Caenorhabditis elegans: one gene and its partners. The protein of the gene in region 3 interacts with the protein of the main gene of each other region in a pairwise test. Each region holds a gene or a part of one and is shown on either strand. Other genes may lie near its edges.

Evidence for each region.
Region 1: the proteins of prx-5 (region 3) and fkh-6 interact in a two-hybrid assay, tested with the Caenorhabditis elegans proteins (one large-scale study listed by BioGRID).
Region 2: the proteins of prx-5 (region 3) and ubq-2 interact in a two-hybrid assay, tested with the Caenorhabditis elegans proteins (one large-scale study listed by BioGRID).
Region 4: the proteins of prx-5 (region 3) and ubxn-1 interact in a two-hybrid assay, tested with the Caenorhabditis elegans proteins (one large-scale study listed by BioGRID).

What each region holds. Positions count from the first base shown.
Region 1 is NC_003280.10:4,379,072-4,384,989, forward strand, and holds fkh-6 (Forkhead transcription factor fkh-6), read right to left. Parts: upstream 4,336-5,918; 5' UTR 4,218-4,335; coding exon 4,180-4,217; intron 4,020-4,179; coding exon 3,911-4,019; intron 2,556-3,910; coding exon 2,344-2,555; intron 2,271-2,343; coding exon 2,117-2,270; intron 1,460-2,116; coding exon 1,154-1,459; intron 965-1,153; coding exon 812-964; 3' UTR 807-811; coding exon of another isoform or gene 762-806; 3' UTR 716-761; coding exon of another isoform or gene 545-715; 3' UTR 514-544; downstream 1-513. Other genes in the region: B0286.1 (uncharacterized protein), read left to right, coding at 346-500, 545-715, 762-806, 4,552-4,611, 5,748-5,910. UniProt on the Caenorhabditis elegans protein: Probable transcription factor. Binds to the DNA sequence motif 5'-[TA]TGTT[TG]T[TG][ATG]TT-3'.
Region 2 is NC_003281.10:12,977,444-12,980,385, forward strand, and holds ubq-2 (Ubiquitin), read right to left. Parts: upstream 1,081-2,942; 5' UTR 1,079-1,080; coding exon 940-1,078; intron 863-939; coding exon 776-862; intron 727-775; coding exon 566-726; 3' UTR 520-565; downstream 1-519. Other genes in the region: ZK1010.2 (DUF155 domain-containing protein), read right to left, coding at 1-419; frg-1 (Protein FRG1 homolog), read left to right, coding at 1,732-1,799, 1,859-2,369, 2,424-2,669.
Region 3 is NC_003280.10:8,703,294-8,707,317, reverse strand, and holds prx-5 (TPR_REGION domain-containing protein), read right to left. Parts: upstream 2,495-4,024; 5' UTR 2,494-2,494; coding exon 2,394-2,493; intron 2,345-2,393; coding exon 2,160-2,344; intron 2,112-2,159; coding exon 1,767-2,111; intron 1,719-1,766; coding exon 1,488-1,718; intron 1,343-1,487; coding exon 1,253-1,342; intron 1,201-1,252; coding exon 737-1,200; intron 691-736; coding exon 597-690; 3' UTR 558-596; downstream 1-557. Other genes in the region: Homeobox protein ceh-7, read left to right, coding at 3,489-3,686, 3,894-3,950.
Region 4 is NC_003279.8:2,432,455-2,436,222, reverse strand, and holds ubxn-1 (UBX domain-containing protein 1), read right to left. Parts: upstream 2,222-3,768; 5' UTR 2,213-2,221; coding exon 2,001-2,212; intron 1,944-2,000; coding exon 1,671-1,943; intron 1,619-1,670; coding exon 1,372-1,618; intron 1,331-1,371; coding exon 1,207-1,330; intron 692-1,206; coding exon 648-691; 3' UTR 532-647; downstream 1-531. Other genes in the region: tipn-1 (Protein TIPIN homolog), read left to right, coding at 2,614-2,692, 2,744-2,811, 2,860-2,964, 3,008-3,269, 3,326-3,513; F23C8.8 (Protein kinase domain-containing protein), read left to right, coding at 3,642-3,688. UniProt on the Caenorhabditis elegans protein: Ubiquitin-binding protein which acts as an adapter for ATPase cdc-48.1 and/or cdc-48.2, conferring substrate specificity.

The DNA of each region.
Region 1 (5,918 bases), 4.3 Mb from region 3:
TCTCGCAGAAAAATTTTCTCGAAAAAAATTAATTATTGGTCACAGTTTGATCTCAAAAAATTTGAACTTACTACAAATTTAGACTACAAATTTTTTGGACAAAATTTTACCAAAATTTTGTTCTCAGAGACTTAGATTTTCTTGCCAACTTTTATTTGGTAAATTTTAAATTCCGATTAATATTAGTTTTTGAAATAATAAGTACTATAAACTTAAGTTTATAAATAAAATTGATATCGGTGATTTTTTTTCTTCGAAAAACCCTCCAAATTGAGTAGATCTGCCATTAAAAAAAAACTGAAAAAAAAACACTTTAAAAGTCAAATCACTGTTTTTTTCTTTCAGTAATCTGGCTGCACAAAAAGAAGATCGAGGCTGAATTACAATCCCGCCACGCCGAATCAACCAAATTTTTAAGCAAAATTAAATTAAAAGAGTCAGAAATTTACGGGTTGAAGACAAAACAAGAAACGTGCCAGAAGGAGTTGACGGATTGTCAGGTAAGATTTGAAATTTTTTTAAAACCATAATTCATGTTTTATAGACTTTAAAAGAAGAGCCAAAAGAGCAAAAAAAAGAAAACAATAAAAACGATGAAAATTCGAAGAAAACAATCGAAAAATATGAACAAGAAATTGCGGGTCTCAAAGAGAAAATTGAAGGTTTGGAGGAGAAGGTGAAGAATAATTATTCGGATGAAAATTCTAGCTTGAAGGTAATCTGAAATTAATTACCAAAATATTTCAAAAAATTTATTCCAGGAGGAACTGAAACAGTGCGAAACGAGGATCAGGCAGTTGACAGGGGTAAGTTAAGATGAAGCTGGGAATTGTTGTCCATAACCATAGAGAGATGGGTCATCAAATGATAATCCCGTGAAAGTGGTTGTTGGTTGACAGGACCAATTGGTATAAGGGGGCATGAAGGCGTTTGGGTACATGTTGCTTGCAGTGGAGAGCAGTTGCTGGAATAAGTTTTAGGAGGGTTTTTGATTAGTTATGAAAATTCTAAAATTTAGAAAAAGTGGAGATAGGAGAAAAAGTGGAGATAGCATAATTTTTACCGACTTCAAAATTTCTCCATTAAGCTGCAAGAGTTAAAAAAAAAGTAGCATAAACTTTATTTAAAACATTTTTTGAAAATTTCAACTAACCTGTTGCTCGATACTCCTCGGATCAGTCATCTGAAGACTTGTCAAGAATGTTGTACTTGAAATCCCAGGGATCAATGGCTTCATATCAACTAGAACCTCCTCTTTGACAGTATCCGATGGTACAACTTCTACATCAGACACAACTGGTGGTGGTTGAGATGGAGCCACTAGATTTGTGTCGAAATGAGAAGTTGGAATTGGGAAGGCGCTTGTGTAAATTGAGGTATCAAATGATGACGATGAGGAAGAGGAGTTGTTGATTTGGGAGGTGTTGGCACTATCAGTGATGGAGTTGGGGTATTGGAACTGAAAAATTGAAAGTGTTAGATCTGCACCCCGATTGTGCTCTATTTTGACCGCTTATATCATGGTTGCCTGAAATTTTATCAAATAATTGTCATTATTTAAATGTAGAGAAATATTTTGCCCATATTTTGTCAACTGACAATTTTTGATAACAACAAAGGGAGTCAAGATATAAGCTGTCAAAGTAGACCAAGGCATGGAGTCCACTTTTTGGGCTTTTTTGGTAGGCAGGCACGCCTTCAGGCGTACTTACCTACTTTATATTTTTCTGCCTATGCCTGCCTATGATCTAAAATTTACAAGCAGGCATAGTTGTCTTTGTGAAATATTTGCACAGTTCGCTAATTTCTTTAAGATCTTTTTGAGATTGGCACAGTTTCCTCGGAGTTTTGAGTATTTTCATGAAAGTTTTTTTTGGAAAAACAATTATTAATAAAATTATTTTTAATTGGGAATATAAAGCAACTTTGCTTCATTTTATAAGAGTTGTAACGAAAATTTCACAACTAACTAGTAAGGACTCTGGGGCTAAACGATAAGCTTACTACAGATTCACCAATATTTTTAGTACAATTTCGTAAATTTGTTGCCTGTTCGAATTTTTCATGGGGCGTTAGCGTTCAGATTCCCGAAAATCTTCACTGGGCAATTATTTACCTTAAAAAACTGGAAAGGATCCATAGTTTGAATATTCTGTGGCCACTTCAACCCGTTGAAAAACGGAAGCTGTTGCTGTAGAATGGTCCCTGTTTCAGTAGTTTCCGTCGTATTCGCATAACCCATTTTTCCGATTCCAAGTCTTTTGACACGTCTGTAAATACATGAACAAATAGTCATTTTTCACGAGTGTATAATAATAATAATCCTCTTGTCACTATCCATACCTTCTCTTAAAGTTGCCGTTGTCAAACTGAGGCGCATTGTCCGCCACCATTTGCCAATAGTTGCCCTTTCTGTCGTTCGCGCAGCTTTGTCCGTCTCGTGCTTTTTTGACAAAGCAGTCGTTGAGTGACAGATTGTGTCGAATACTGTTCTGCCATCCCTGTTTTCGTTTCGCGTCCGCGTCACGGTAATATGGGAATTTGGCCTCGATGAACTGAAACACACATCATCGGTTTTGTTTGCGCCTGATAGGAAACTAACATACTTTGAAAGGTTATATCTCGGTTCATAATAAAGATATCAATGAATGATCAACTACAAACCTATAGAAAAATAACCAAAAAATATTTGGCTGGTAGACAATTTTTGTTTAGGACAAACGAGAGCTGAGATATTAACTGTCAAAGTTGAATACTAAGGTTTTTGGGTCTTGACACGAAGAAGGTCTATATATATATATATTGACATTGTTATTGACTTGTAGGAGAGAGGAAAAGTTGTTCACTGTGTAAATGTTATGGGAGAGGCACAGGGTGCCCCCCACACCAAATTAGTCAGATCTATTAAGGTTGATGAGTCAAAACGGAAGAGTGGAAGTGGTGGGTTACGGTAGATGTGCTGGCTAGTGAGTTGGGTTTTCCAGAGTTAGATTGAACTGAACATTACTAGATCACTTGTGACAGGGTTACGGTAGGGCAGGGCTAGGTGGAAAAAAAAAGCAACCAACTGAATATCACAACAAAAATATCAATGTATGAAACTTACTGTACGAAAATGTGATATGGGAAAGATGATGTAGAACCTTAAGAACTTTTTTTCGAATTTCGTTTTTTTTGTAGCAATAAGGAGCAGATTAATTTTACTGCTATATAATCGTGTTAGAAAATCTCCAAAATAACAGATATTTTGAGGCTTTTCTAGTAATTTCAAAACAATTTAAAGTACAAAAAATATAGGGAGAATCTCCGGAGAAGTGACGAATATTTTTCTGGATTTTTAAATGAAGTATATGTCATTACAAGATGATCGCCAAATTTTTCGCTTCAAAGGAGCATTTTGAACTAGAAAATGTTTCATTAAATGGCTCGGCTTGATCAGTTTTATATGACTAAATAGACTCCGATGATTCAAGTTTTCAAATAATTGAAATTTACAAAAAAATCTTTCAAACGTTTGCCTATACCTGAAAAACTTAAAAGAAGATAAAAATCGGATTTGGAACAATTTCAGCAGCCTCGAAGTTAGTGTAAAGTGAGATAAAAATTCTCAGAAAAAAAGTAATTTTTAAAGTTTTGGAATTGAATTTCGTAGATCTATTTTTGCAGGAATAACTGAAAGTTCTAGCACATATTTTAATACTCAATATGACGTCCAAAAAAAACTGGAATATTCCGCTAACATTGTGAAAAATTTGCTCAAAAATTCTTCAAAATTTGAATTGCCGCACCAGTTTTGGGTTTTTAAAATGGTATTTTTCCGCAAAAAAGTATTTAGTTTTAGCAAAATTTTCATGATAATTCCTCCAAAACCGCTATACCAAAAAAACGTTATCGAAAAGCTTCCCGTTACCTTGTAAATCTGATTCAACGTCATTCTCTTATCCGGCGAAGCATCGATTGCCATTGCAATAAGTGCAACGTAACTGTATGGCGGCTTGTCAATCGAATTTCCCTCTTGACTGGAAAGAGCTCTTTTATTTTCAAAACTTTGCCTCTAACAGAATTTTGCAACGGGGATTTTGTATTTAGAGAAGAAGAAAAAGAAAATATGTTTCCCCTCTCTCTCTCCCTCTCTAAAAACAATAATAAATAAATAAAATAAATAAATACATAACTTACACAATATGAAATGGAAGATGTGTTTGATGGCGAGTCATGATTATTGTATTTTTTTATGGTAGGGGGTGTCAAATGAGACAACGGATTATGCAGAAGCTAAGAGTGAGGGCGGGGTCTCGGAACTGTGAAGACGGAGGTGTGGGTGGAGGGAAAGAAATGGAAGAAGATTGTGCACACTGTCTCCTTCTCCCCCCTGTGTGCTCCTGACATTTTCTGGTGCTGATTCACTGGTAAAAGGGAAACAGAAACATCCAATCTGATCATCTCTTACTTTTTATATTTTGTAAATAAACGAAAAATCGAAAGGGAGAACACGACGACGATTGGAGAATATTTGTATTACAACACAAAATTACACACAACTTTTTACAGGGAGGAGCCATCGAGCATTACTCGCAAAATGAGACGGCACATTTCAGCAGGAATCAGAAGGTTTGTGCTTCTTTTTGTTGTACACAGTACTCCCGTTACAGTAATCTGGAATTATTCTGAAAATTTTGCGATTTTTTAATCCTTAACTTGACCATATTTTTTGACTTTCCAGCGACTTTTAGTCACCTTTCATTCATTGTATTTTTTCTACTAGACTTCCAGGCACTTTCCTTTACTTTGACAGCGTATATCTCAGCTCTTTTTGATTTTATCAAAAATTATTAACTGGCAAAGTACTCCCAAAATAATTCTCTACATTTTATTAGTTTATCATTTTTTGTTAAAATCTAAGTGAACCAAGACATAAGTCGTCAAAGTGGAGCAATGTCGGCGCAAGGCTAATAGGGAAAATTGGCAAAATAGTAGATCAAAATGATTTCCAATTTTTTTTTTCAAACTTCTGAAAAACAAATTTGTTTTAAAATTAATGATTATAAACCACAAGTATCGTTTTTTTTTTAATTTAAATTTAATTTCATTAAAAACTGGATTTTTTTAACTTTTTAAATTTCCAGCCACATTTTTGGGCATTGTTTTCTGTAGCCTCGAAAAGTGAATAGAAGTGCCTGGATCGACCAAAATAATTTGAAATATTTGTTTTAATGCTAAAACGGTCAATTCAGACAAAACTAGCCATTTTCCAAAGCATCAGAAAAATTTAGAAACAAATTTAGAAAACTTGAAAATTTTTGATTGCAAAATTTTCGATTTTTTCGAAAAAAAAAAGATTTTTATCAATAATAATTTCCCTCAAGAAAGTGATTTTAAAAATGGTTGTTTAAAATAATTCACCACATAATCAGAATTTCAAATATTCAAACAATTTCCAAAATTGGATATTTTTCATAGATAGTTCTATTTTTTCACACTTTCAATTTTTCTCTGTGTAGTTTCAGAATCACAAGATATTTTCCCATTTGAAACGAAAACATATCACTTTAAATAAATCACCTGAATATTTGCCACTGTTTTGCTTATCTGTCTGACTTTCTCTTATCAACAAATTGTTTCAAACTTTTTGATCAAAGGTCTTGCTTGTTTCTATTTTTACTTACTCCCTGTATTTCTTTTCACATGAGTCTACAAGAGAGAAAAAAGTAGCCGTCATAAGGGTCAACTAACTACTCCATTTTCAGGCTGATGAACCATTGTTCTTCGATCGAGGTAACATTCAACATCACATCCCGCAAAAGTTGTTATTGGGACGAGAATTGGTGCAGACACTGGAAGAGGCAAAAGTGAAAAAGTTGGAGGAGAGAGAACAAATGGACAAGCATCCACAGGATCGCGATAATAAAGGTGACATT
Region 2 (2,942 bases), on a different chromosome or scaffold from region 3:
TGACTAGAATCAACGTTCCAAAAAACGACAACTCCATCTCGAAACACGAAAATTTCACTGAGTTCGCCTGGATTGATGGTATATTCCAGTTTTTTGACAAAGTGCAAGCTGTCATCCGCGTCCTCGTCGATTGCAGTTATATTATACATTCCATTGAGCTGTGCATCCATGATGACCTCATTGAGGTTCAGTGATTCTGAAAGTGCCATGGCGACGACTGAAGGTTCTCGTAGGGATTTTGGAACAACCGATGAAGCAACTGGGCGTCTCTTCTTCATCTTTCTAACTTGAACCCGTTCCAGATTAATTATCTCTTTGGGCTGGGTCTCGCTCCGCAGAAGTGCTGTGAATGAGAACTGGCGCCTGGCTGGACCCGGCTTTGTAGCTACTAGAGCTCCCCGAAGTATTGATTTGAGCATCTGTATTTTATAATGATTCTTTGTTACCATGTACAAATCTCATTCCAAAAATCCAATATTTACGAAATTTACGTTTTGCACAAATAGCGACATTCAATTAAAATTAACGATTTATTTGCCAACACATGGACTGGAACGAGTGAAGATTACTTCAGCTTCTTCTTGATGCGGAGCTCGCTGGAGTGTCCGCACTTCTTCTTTCTGCAGTTGCTGGCACGTGGTGGGAGACGAGCATAGCACTTTCTGCAGATCTGCTTGTCGCAGTTGTACTTCTGGGCGAGCTGACGGAGAGATGGCTCGATGATTCCTGAATTTAGAAATATTTCTCAATGCCTGAACATTAGAAAAAAACTAACCTCCACGAAGACGGAGCACCAAGTGGAGAGTAGACTCCTTTTGGATGTTGTAGTCGGAGAGAGTACGTCCATCCTCGAGTTGCTTTCCTGAAATTAGAAAATTATATTGGGTGTTTTGCCCGGAAATTAATTCAAGAATATATCAGGTCTGAATAATAACGTACCGGCGAAGATCAATCTTTGCTGATCTGGTGGGATTCCCTCCTTGTCTTGGATCTTGGCCTTGACATTCTCAATGGTATCGGAAGCCTCGACTTCGAGGGTAATAGTCTTACCCGTCAGAGTCTTGACGAAGATTTGCATGACTGAAATTATATAATTTGAAAAGAAACCGAGTAAAATTGTCAGAAAATGACGGCGAGAGCGAAACATTTGGAGGAGAGCGTAGGGGCAAAAATTATTGATTTTTCTTTAGAGACTAGTTTCAAAGGTGACAAAAGACGTTATAGACCGCATAATGTGTGTAACTACCCATTTAGAACAAAGAGGAAAGAATATTTTGCGTTAAAAAGCTGTAAAAATTCAAGAATAGAGAAATTATTTAGCAAAAAAATGAAATTTCATAATAAATTCGTTTTCCAAGCTTAAAATACAACAGAATCTCCACTTTCTATGCTGAACAAGCGTCCAGAACAATATTTTGATTAAATTGAACAGAAATTTGGAAAAATTTCGCAGAGAAACGGCGAAAATCGAGCAAAAAAACGGAAAAAATTTAGGCCCAGCGACACAAATGGAGGATTGCCGTGGTGATGGGTCTCGCCGCGAAATTGAGAGACGGCGAAAGTACGGTAGAGAGCTGCAGGATTTACGGGAAGGGGGAGAAGAATTCGAATATTATTTTTTTGTTTCAAACGTTTTTCGAACGTTTTTTTATTGATTTCTTCGAGTTTTGTTATGAAATTTACAGTTTTATTGATGAAAATTTTGTTTTTTATTGCAGAAAACTTCAAAAAATGCCAGGCGCTGACTACAGTGCTGTAAAAGGTGGTGGATTGAAATTAAAAGCCGGAAAAAAGAATTTGTAAGTGACATATTCAAGTTTAAAGTGTATAAAATCCTCCATTAATTCACTCGTTGCAGATTCAAAGTGGGAAAGGAGAAAAAGAAGAAGAACAAAGACGACAAGGAGAAAATCGATCCAGACACCGTCGAAAATGGTGGTTGGCGCAAAATTGCCGATGAATTCGATATGAAAGGAGGAACCAACGTCGCCATCGAAGTTGCCAGTGGAGCCGGCTCAACGCGAACTTATGTCGCTGCAATGGACAACGGAAAATTCACAATTGGATTTCCACATCCGGAGGGAGAAGGCCCGAATCCTGAGGAAATTTTCGCGCTCGTCAAAACTCCAGACGATAGTAAAATCAGTTTGAAGACAGGATTCGGAAGATATGTTGGAGTGGACAGCGAATATCAATTGGTTGCCATGGCTGAAGCTATTGGATCCCGCGAGCAATTCGTGTTGGTTTTCCAGGAGGGAAAAACCGCGTTCCAAGCCGTCTCCTCACCACTTTTCCTCTCTACAGTTCCAAATAAAGAGGGGCATATTTATGTGGCTAGTAGAACCGCTACGGAGAATGAAATGGTTAATGTAAGTGCTAATTTAGATATAAATAGATAAAATCCGATTAAATTCAATTTCCAGATCCGTACAGACGCTATACAAGAAGGCCCAGTCGATTGGAGATCTGTGGAAGACCGCAAAAACGCTCGGGAGTGTGAGACGGCCTACGTGAAGATGTATCAGCACTCGAAGGTTGATCTCAAGAACCGACATATTGCGATTGACGTGAAGGACAAGAAAGGAGTTAAGAAAGCGCAGGCCGACGGAAGTGCACACGAGCTGCTGCTGGACAGACGGATGAAAATGAAATCTGATCGATATTGTTAATAATCTTCACTTGTATTTGTTCTGTAAAATTCAATAAATTCTCTAATAATTATTCTTTTACTTTCTTTTTTTGTTTAAGGATGGAGTATCGTCAATGGGGAAATTGCTTTAAAATACTCTTATAAGAGCTCTTATAGGGCCACCAAAAATCTCAGTTTTCACTATTTGAATTACCGCCAATTAAGTTTGTTCGACGGGGCGCGCTTGCATTATTTTTAAAATTTAATCTTATTTATTCTCGTTATTTGACTGATTTCCTTTATTACTTGTGTA
Region 3 (4,024 bases):
AGAAAACTTGTGACTGTGCTCCTCTCAATTGGAGCTGTTTCTCTCGGATCTTCTTCTTCTTCAACCAGCTGTACCTTTTCATGATAAATGGCCATGTCATGTGCTTCAAAGACAGAAAGAGAAAAGGAAGAATGTGTTCGATGACCGGCAAATAGAAAAGAGTGAGACGTTTGGAAGAGGGTGGCGGAAAGATGATAATAAATAGAATCAGTCATATGTTCCGAGGTTTTACTCATGGAACGGTGACTCATGTGGAATTTCTGAGCATTTTGTAGAAATTCACCGTAAGAGAAATGATAGGATTTGATTACTTAGTGTCTAGAAGTCTTGAAGAATGTTATTTTAATTTAGGCATTATTCAATCATTTCATTGAGCTCTAACAATGTGAGTTCTACAAACAAAACAAAATGAGCTGAACACTTTTTGTGCTAGGTCGGTTTACTTCCTGCTTTCTTACCGCTGTAATAACATTTTATGACCCTTCCAAACTCGTGATCGGCTTGAAATTGAGATTTTCAAAATGAAAGTTTGAAAACCAAGTAAAAAAATTCGAGGAAAAATAATTATTTATTTTAGTATTTAAATTGTAATTATTCTAGACTAGAGAGGCTTTTACAGCTGCCAAATCTCGTCTTTCCACTGCTCTCAGTAAATTGTCAGGGACATTCGATGTTCGGATTGCTGCTGATCTGAAATTTGTGAAGGTGATTTTAACATATAAAGCTATAAACTAACCTCATAGTTGTCCAAATACCAGATGCATCATTTCCTCCTTTTTGCAATTCTAATGCAGATAAAAAATGTTTCAAAGCTTCATCATAAGATGATAATTGCATACAAGATATTCCCAAATTGTATCTTGCTCTGACATATGTTGGATACAATTTCAAAGCTTCTCGATATGCTGAAATGGCTTCAGCTGTGTGGTCACCATTGGCTAACGTAGCACCAAGACGATTCCAGAGACGAGCATCAGTTGGATTTTTGGAGATCGCCAACTTGAGAGAGTCGACAGCTCTTGCAAAATTGCGATTCAAGTTGTATAAAACTCCGAGAGCATTTTGAAGATCTGGATCTGGAGTTGCTCCTTGTTGCCGAGCAGCATCCAAGAATCTAGCCTCAACTCGATTAAAAGTGTCACTGTCCAGAAATGAAGAGTAGAGTGGAGGTGTGGTTGTCACTTGAGTCGAGTTTGAACCCTTAAAATATTTATTCGTGTGGGATTATTCTTGAAATAAAAATAAGAAATACCAAGTAAGAAGACATCCATTTATCCAATTGATGTAAAGCTTCATTTTCCATTCCTTCGTTCGCTTGACTGACAGACAAACCAAGAAGTGCCTGAAATAATTTTGATTTTATTGGAAGTTTTTTTTTTTTTTTCTTAATTTCTGTTCTTAAAAAGTTTTAAGAGACAGATATGAATTTTATCGCGACCTATCTATTTTATGGCATCAAATAATCAAATATTTTTCTCAAATTTTACCTCCTTGTTTCCAGCGTCAATCTGCAAACATTTTTGGAACGCTTGCATTGCTAACTGATCTTTTTCATTTTCAGCATGAGCCAATCCTAATTTACACCAGGCACGTGCATCCTGAGGATCTTTTTGAACTGCTGCTTCATAGGCAAGCATGGCATTTCCAATATCTCCATTTCTCATTAGATTGTCTCCTTCCATCAGTGGATCTGACATGGTTGTGAAAGGGTTTGCTTCCTGAATAGGAGGGTTATAAAAATGTGTTAAAGAAGACAAAAATCTTACCTGATAAACATAGTTTTCAGGACTTTGAAGAGATTCGTCCTTTTCCATATCTCTCTTAATTTCCTCCCATCTCTGTTCAAAAGCCTGTGCATCTTTCCAAGTGTTTTCCATTCCATAATTATCTTGTTGCTCCATAAAATCATCAGCCCAGTTTTGAGTCCCAGAAGATTTGGTTAAAGAAGTATCCACAGTATCCAGATATTCAGATGACCACATACCAGCATCTGTTATTGGTTGATGTGATGACGTGGATGTCATTGATGGAGCTTGAACTTGACGCCATGCAGATTCCATGCTTGGAGCACTAGATGTGTATTGTTGACTCCATTGACTCGCTAACTGGTTCTGAAGCAATCAATTGAAAATACCAATATATGAATGCATTAGAAATACCTGTCGCGGTTGAAACTCCTTTGTCCAATTTGCTGCCAAACTTGAGGATGCTGATGCCTGTGGTAAATTATTCTGCATCGACTTCATGCTGAAACTTGTTGGAGCCATTGTTCTCGCTTGTTGTCTTAAAAATTCATTAGCCATTTGTTCTCCCATAGAAGAAGATGGGAGAAGAGAAGCTGCAGCTAAAAACTTTTTTTTTTGTTAATTTTTACTTGAATATTTCCAGCTTACCATTACTCGGAGCGACTCTTTGATTGGATGTTCCAAATGTGTTAGCTAACCCGACAAGAGCATTCTGCTGTCCACATTGTCCTTCTACAACTCCTTTCATTCTGTAAAAAATTGAAGAATTCGAGAGTTAATTGTTGAAAAAAAGTAGAATTAAAAATGAAGAAAAATACAATTTACAAGAAATATATAAAATAAAGTGTGAATTTTGATTGAAAAAGAAAATAAGTGGGCCCCAGTGTAGTCTTTTCATCAAATTGATTGATACTACATTAGGATTTAGAGTGAAGGAGACGTAGTGATAAAAAGATAGTATTGTCTTATCAAAAAGGATACAATTGATGAAATTTAGATAAGGAACAACGGAGGTCGACTATCGATTTCTGAAATAACCGGGAAACGTTTATGGATTTTTTTTCCAAGTTTTCCTAGCAAGATTGAAAACGTAATAAAATAGAATACCTTATTGTAAGTTTCCAAATTTCAATCCTTCAATTAGATATTCTAGTTGCTAGTGGAGTTATCCTAGATCGTTTTAAATTAAGCAAAATGGATATTTTGCACTTGGTTTGATTTTCAACAACACGGGTTTCTGGCTCGACCCGTCGCCCCATTGCACACTTGCACGGGGGAAAAATATTTGATTGTGCAATAATAATAATAATTTTTCGTGTGCAAAAGACAAATTTTGCTCGAATGAAGTTGTGAATTTAAAGAGAGTTCCCCCATTATTCCATAGCTAGGATTGATGTCATCTGGATCAAAATTTCAAAGATATCGAAACTGGCAGGAAAAACATTATTAACCAAAAAAATGTCAAGACAACCTTATTCGTCGACTGCATACATTCAGTTTTTTCCCCTATTTTGACATATTCTGTATACCTATAGGTTTTGTAACTATAAAACATTCCTTGAATACTTTTTTGTATAATGTCATCATTATTATATTTTCTTTTATAAACAAGGCCTATTAAAATGTCCAATAAAACTACGAAGATATACACAAAAGGTGTGATTTTATAATGTATTCCCTATAATTTAAACGAAACGAAACGAAAACGGGCGGCCCCTTGTACTGACAATTGACGGCATAAATATGAAACACGAAATGGTCTTTACATTCTTACTGATGATGGTTAGACCAGAAGCTTCAACCTCCAGAATTCCACGTAGAAGAACCACATTTACAGTGGAACAACTATATTTACTCGAAATGTATTTTGCACAAAGTCAGTATGTTGGATGTGATGAAAGGGAAAGATTGGCAAGGATTTTGAGTCTAGATGAATATCAGGTTTCTATTGTTTTTAGAAATCTATTCTCTATTAAAATTGTTTGCGAAATTTATCCACCAGGCTGAGCTCCAGCAACTTCTACGTTAAGTCTAACATATCCGATTGTATGTTGTAAAGATGTGATTAGATCAATCTAGGAAAAAAATAAAAAATTTTTAAATCAGTTGTTATCATTCAATAATTTTCCGAGACGTAGCACATTACAGGTGAAGATTTGGTTCCAAAATCGTCGAATCCGGATGAGAAGAGAAGCCAATAAATAATAGTCAAATATTTATTTAATTTCATTTCACTGAAATAAATTTTGTAGTTAGAACCACTATTTCCAACATTGAAA
Region 4 (3,768 bases), on a different chromosome or scaffold from region 3:
CCCACCAAAACAGAATGCAACTCAAAACAGGATTCACCAAAACAGGATGCAAGGGCGGAGCCTATTTCGCAACAACCGCGCATGCTTTTCCCGCAAGCCTCGCACGTTTTTTCCTTGATGTTGTTGCATTTTTTAAAGAGAAAAAACGTGCGAGGCTTGCGGAAAAAGCATGCGGTGGTTGCGAAATAGGCTCCGCCCCTGTATCCTGTTTTGAGTTGCATTCCGTTTTGGTGGGGCCTCTTAAATTAAATCGAAAAGAAAATCTGAGCCCGTAAATCGACCTACAGTAATCATTTAAAGAATTACTGCAGTTTTCGCTGCGAGATATTTTGCGCGTCAAATATGTTGTGCAGTACGCAGGTTTTTATTCCAATATCTTCCAGGTTCTAATGCTTCCAATCACTCTGGAGATATGATTGTCCTGCAGCTTGTCAGAAATCTGTGGCAAGAGCTCGGAGAGCAAAACTGACGGGAATTCGAAGATCACGAGGAGATGAAGAGCCTCGAGATATATGGAGGGGAAAAAAGTTTATCGGAAAATTTTTATACATGCTCAATATACATGTTTAGTTTACAAGTGATACCAGCATTCGGGAGAGGGGGGAGAGAAAATTAGCAGTAAATTGTGGGAATTTAGTTTTGAAGATTCAGGCGGCACGGTTGAGAATGACGTTGGCGGATGGTACCAAATCTGAAAATTTTAAAAAAAAATTAGAGAATGAACATTTTTTTGGTCTCAAAAAACCAAAATTCATAACGAAACTTTTCAAATTTTTATTTATTTTTTTCGAAAAAATGGCCCAATTACAGCAGAAATCTATATATTTTAGCGTTTTTTTCGTTGATTTAGGCACATTTAAAGTCAAATTGCACCATACTGCTCCAATATTTAAAAATTAGTGTCAAAATATAGAAAATCAGTTGATTTTTCTGAAAATAATACTTAATTTAACTGAAAAATTCGAAAGTGCTCAAAAATTGCCTTACAATTGACAATTCGTGACTTCTAGGCCATTTTTGAGCACTTTTTCAGATTCTTCAGTTAAATTGAGTCTTTTTGCTGAAGAAGGACAAAAATCGAATAAAAATAAATTTCCGGCAGCTGTGAACAGGAAAAGTTGGCGAAATAGCTGAAAATCGTCCACTTTTTTTTTCGAAAATTTCCAAGTTTCATCATGAAATCCGGCCTTTTTGAGCAAAACTCACTGAGAACTTTGAGCGGTGTTCCCATATCATCCTCGGTGAACACTTTGCGGGGGAATGGGGTCATCAGGGTGAACGGAACACCGTTTGCGTGATTAGTTTCGACCCAGGCGCGGACCATTGCGAGCTGAAAAATTAATTCAAGGGAGTCGAGAATATTTAAATTACCGGCTCATTAGCTTCAAACTGTTGTCTAACAGTTTGTCCATCGAGAAGTCGGAATTGAAGAGTTGTAGTTGAGTAGTCTTTTGGCGGAGCAACTGGAGCTGCAGACGGAGCAGGCTTTGCCTCTGGAACCGGTTGGCCTGAAGCTTTTGCCTTACGGGCTTCCTTGTCAAGCCGGATTTGCTCGAGAACTCGTTTTCTGGCGATTTCGTCTTCGTTCTTTTCGCGGCGACGATCTTGAGCGGCTTCTCTGCAAATTGGGAATATTATTATTTAAATTCAATGGAAAACAGTTTTCTAACCGAATTTCACGATCTCTGGCGGCTTCTTTATGGCTGATCATGGCTTTTCCATCCTCACGACGCTTTTTCTCCTTCTCACGATTCTCTTCGGCCTCGAGCTTTGCCTTTTTGGCCTGATGGACTTTGATTTTTTCTCGGATTTCCAGGACTTTTGCGGCCTTTTCCTCTGCAGTGAGAGGCTTGATAGCTTCCGAGCTTTCGCTGAAATTCTCGTGCTTTGTCTTCGAAGCGTGGAACATGATAGCATCATCGTTGGCGAGAAGCTTTCCGCAGCTGGAAAAAAAAATTTGGAGAAATAATTAATAAGAATCGTAGGGGGGAAAAACTCACTCATCACACTTAAAACTGGCGGCTACCGGGGGTGCACCACTGTCAGCGGCTCCTGGAGCAGCTTGAGCTGGAGCATCTGTCTCCATTGGTACACCGGCTCCGTCCTTCTCAATCCAATCCAACGCCTGATCGAGATTTCTGTTGTTTCCGGCGGCGGCCTCGGCTTTGTCGGCTGGGAAGCCCATATCCATGAGTTGTTGGGCGATCGACATTGTTATTCTGGAAAGAAATGCGACAATTTGGCGAAAAACTAGATTTTTTCTCATTTTCCAGAAGAATTTTGGGATTTTTTACGAAATAAGCTGTTCAAAACAGTGATATATTAACAATAAAGTGGTTTAATTAATAAAAAACCTTAAGAAATGCGTTTAAATCAGAAAATTCAGATAATAAATGGACTGGAACACTTTTTCTAGCCAAGAACACAAAGAGAATGCTGACTTTCTTTAAAGGCGCACGCATTTAATCGATCGGGTCTCGACGCGATTCAGCCGATTTTGTCGGCGCGTTGTTTGAAAATAGTTTTTTAAACGCTAAGATTTTTGCATTTTTTTTCGTTTTCTGCACGAAAACCTAGAAATTTCGATCGAAAATCAACTTTTTTTCCAGAAAAATGGACGAAATGGAAGATTTCTTCGAAAATGATGAATTGGATCGAGAGCCAAGCCCTATGGGAGACGAAGCAATCGAAGGTATCTAGAATTTCGTGTGAGAAATCGGGTTTTAATTAAAGTTTTGTTCAGATAACAGCGGCGAGGGAGGCACTAGACGAGTCGTGGAGCCGAAATTGTTAAGGACTAAAAGACTAGCAGTAAAACGCTTATTTTCTATGATTTATTTAAATTTTTTCAAACTTTAGAATCCACGCCTAGCACTGAATGAGCGAATTTTGACCGGGCCGAAAGGAATTTCAGCTCTTCGGGAGACTTTAAAAGATTTCAAGCCAAATCCCAAGGATGATCCGGTAAATTTGAAAGTTAAAAAATACAATAATTTTCCCTTTTCAGTACGCAAATCTGGAGAAATTGATGAAAAAATACGCATACTGGGGACATTTGATGTTTCCGAAGATGAAAACCGAAGATGTTCTGAATCGAGTCGAGACACTGGGAACACGGCGGCAGGTTAAAGTTTTCATGATCAAGCACCGGCTTGGAGAGACTGGCGAGGATTCTGAGCACGAGGAGCAGGAGAATCAAAAGAATGGAATTATTGATGATGGAGCGAGTGATAATGACGATGATTTATTCAAGGATTTACCAGAGAAAGGTTGCAAAATTTATCCAAACTTGTTATTAGAAAATCAAAAAATCTTTCAATTTCAGAAGTCACGACTGAAAAAGCTAAAAATTCTGAAAAATCCGACCAAAAAACCGCTGAAATTGATGAAAATGTCGAGGAAGAGTATCGAATGATGGAGGAAGAGCGGCTGCGAGAGGAACAGGAAGCCAAGGAAGCTGCTGACGAAGATGCTCTTATGGAAGATTTCGGTGATATGAATAACGATTGGTGATAGAGCAATTAATTTTTTTTAATTTCACGTGTATTTTATATTTTTATGAACTTTTCTTTGTTCTCGAATTTTCCAAAGCGTGAGACCTTTTTTTTATCGAATAAAACTACATTCCTTATTGTTATGACATGTCAACGCCAACACTCTCTCCGTCTACAGAAAAGTTGATTCCGATGTGAGTTTCTGGAGGTCAAAAATTCGAGTTTTTCTTGATTTTCGCCGTTTTTCCAACGAATATTCTCAAAATATTGGAAT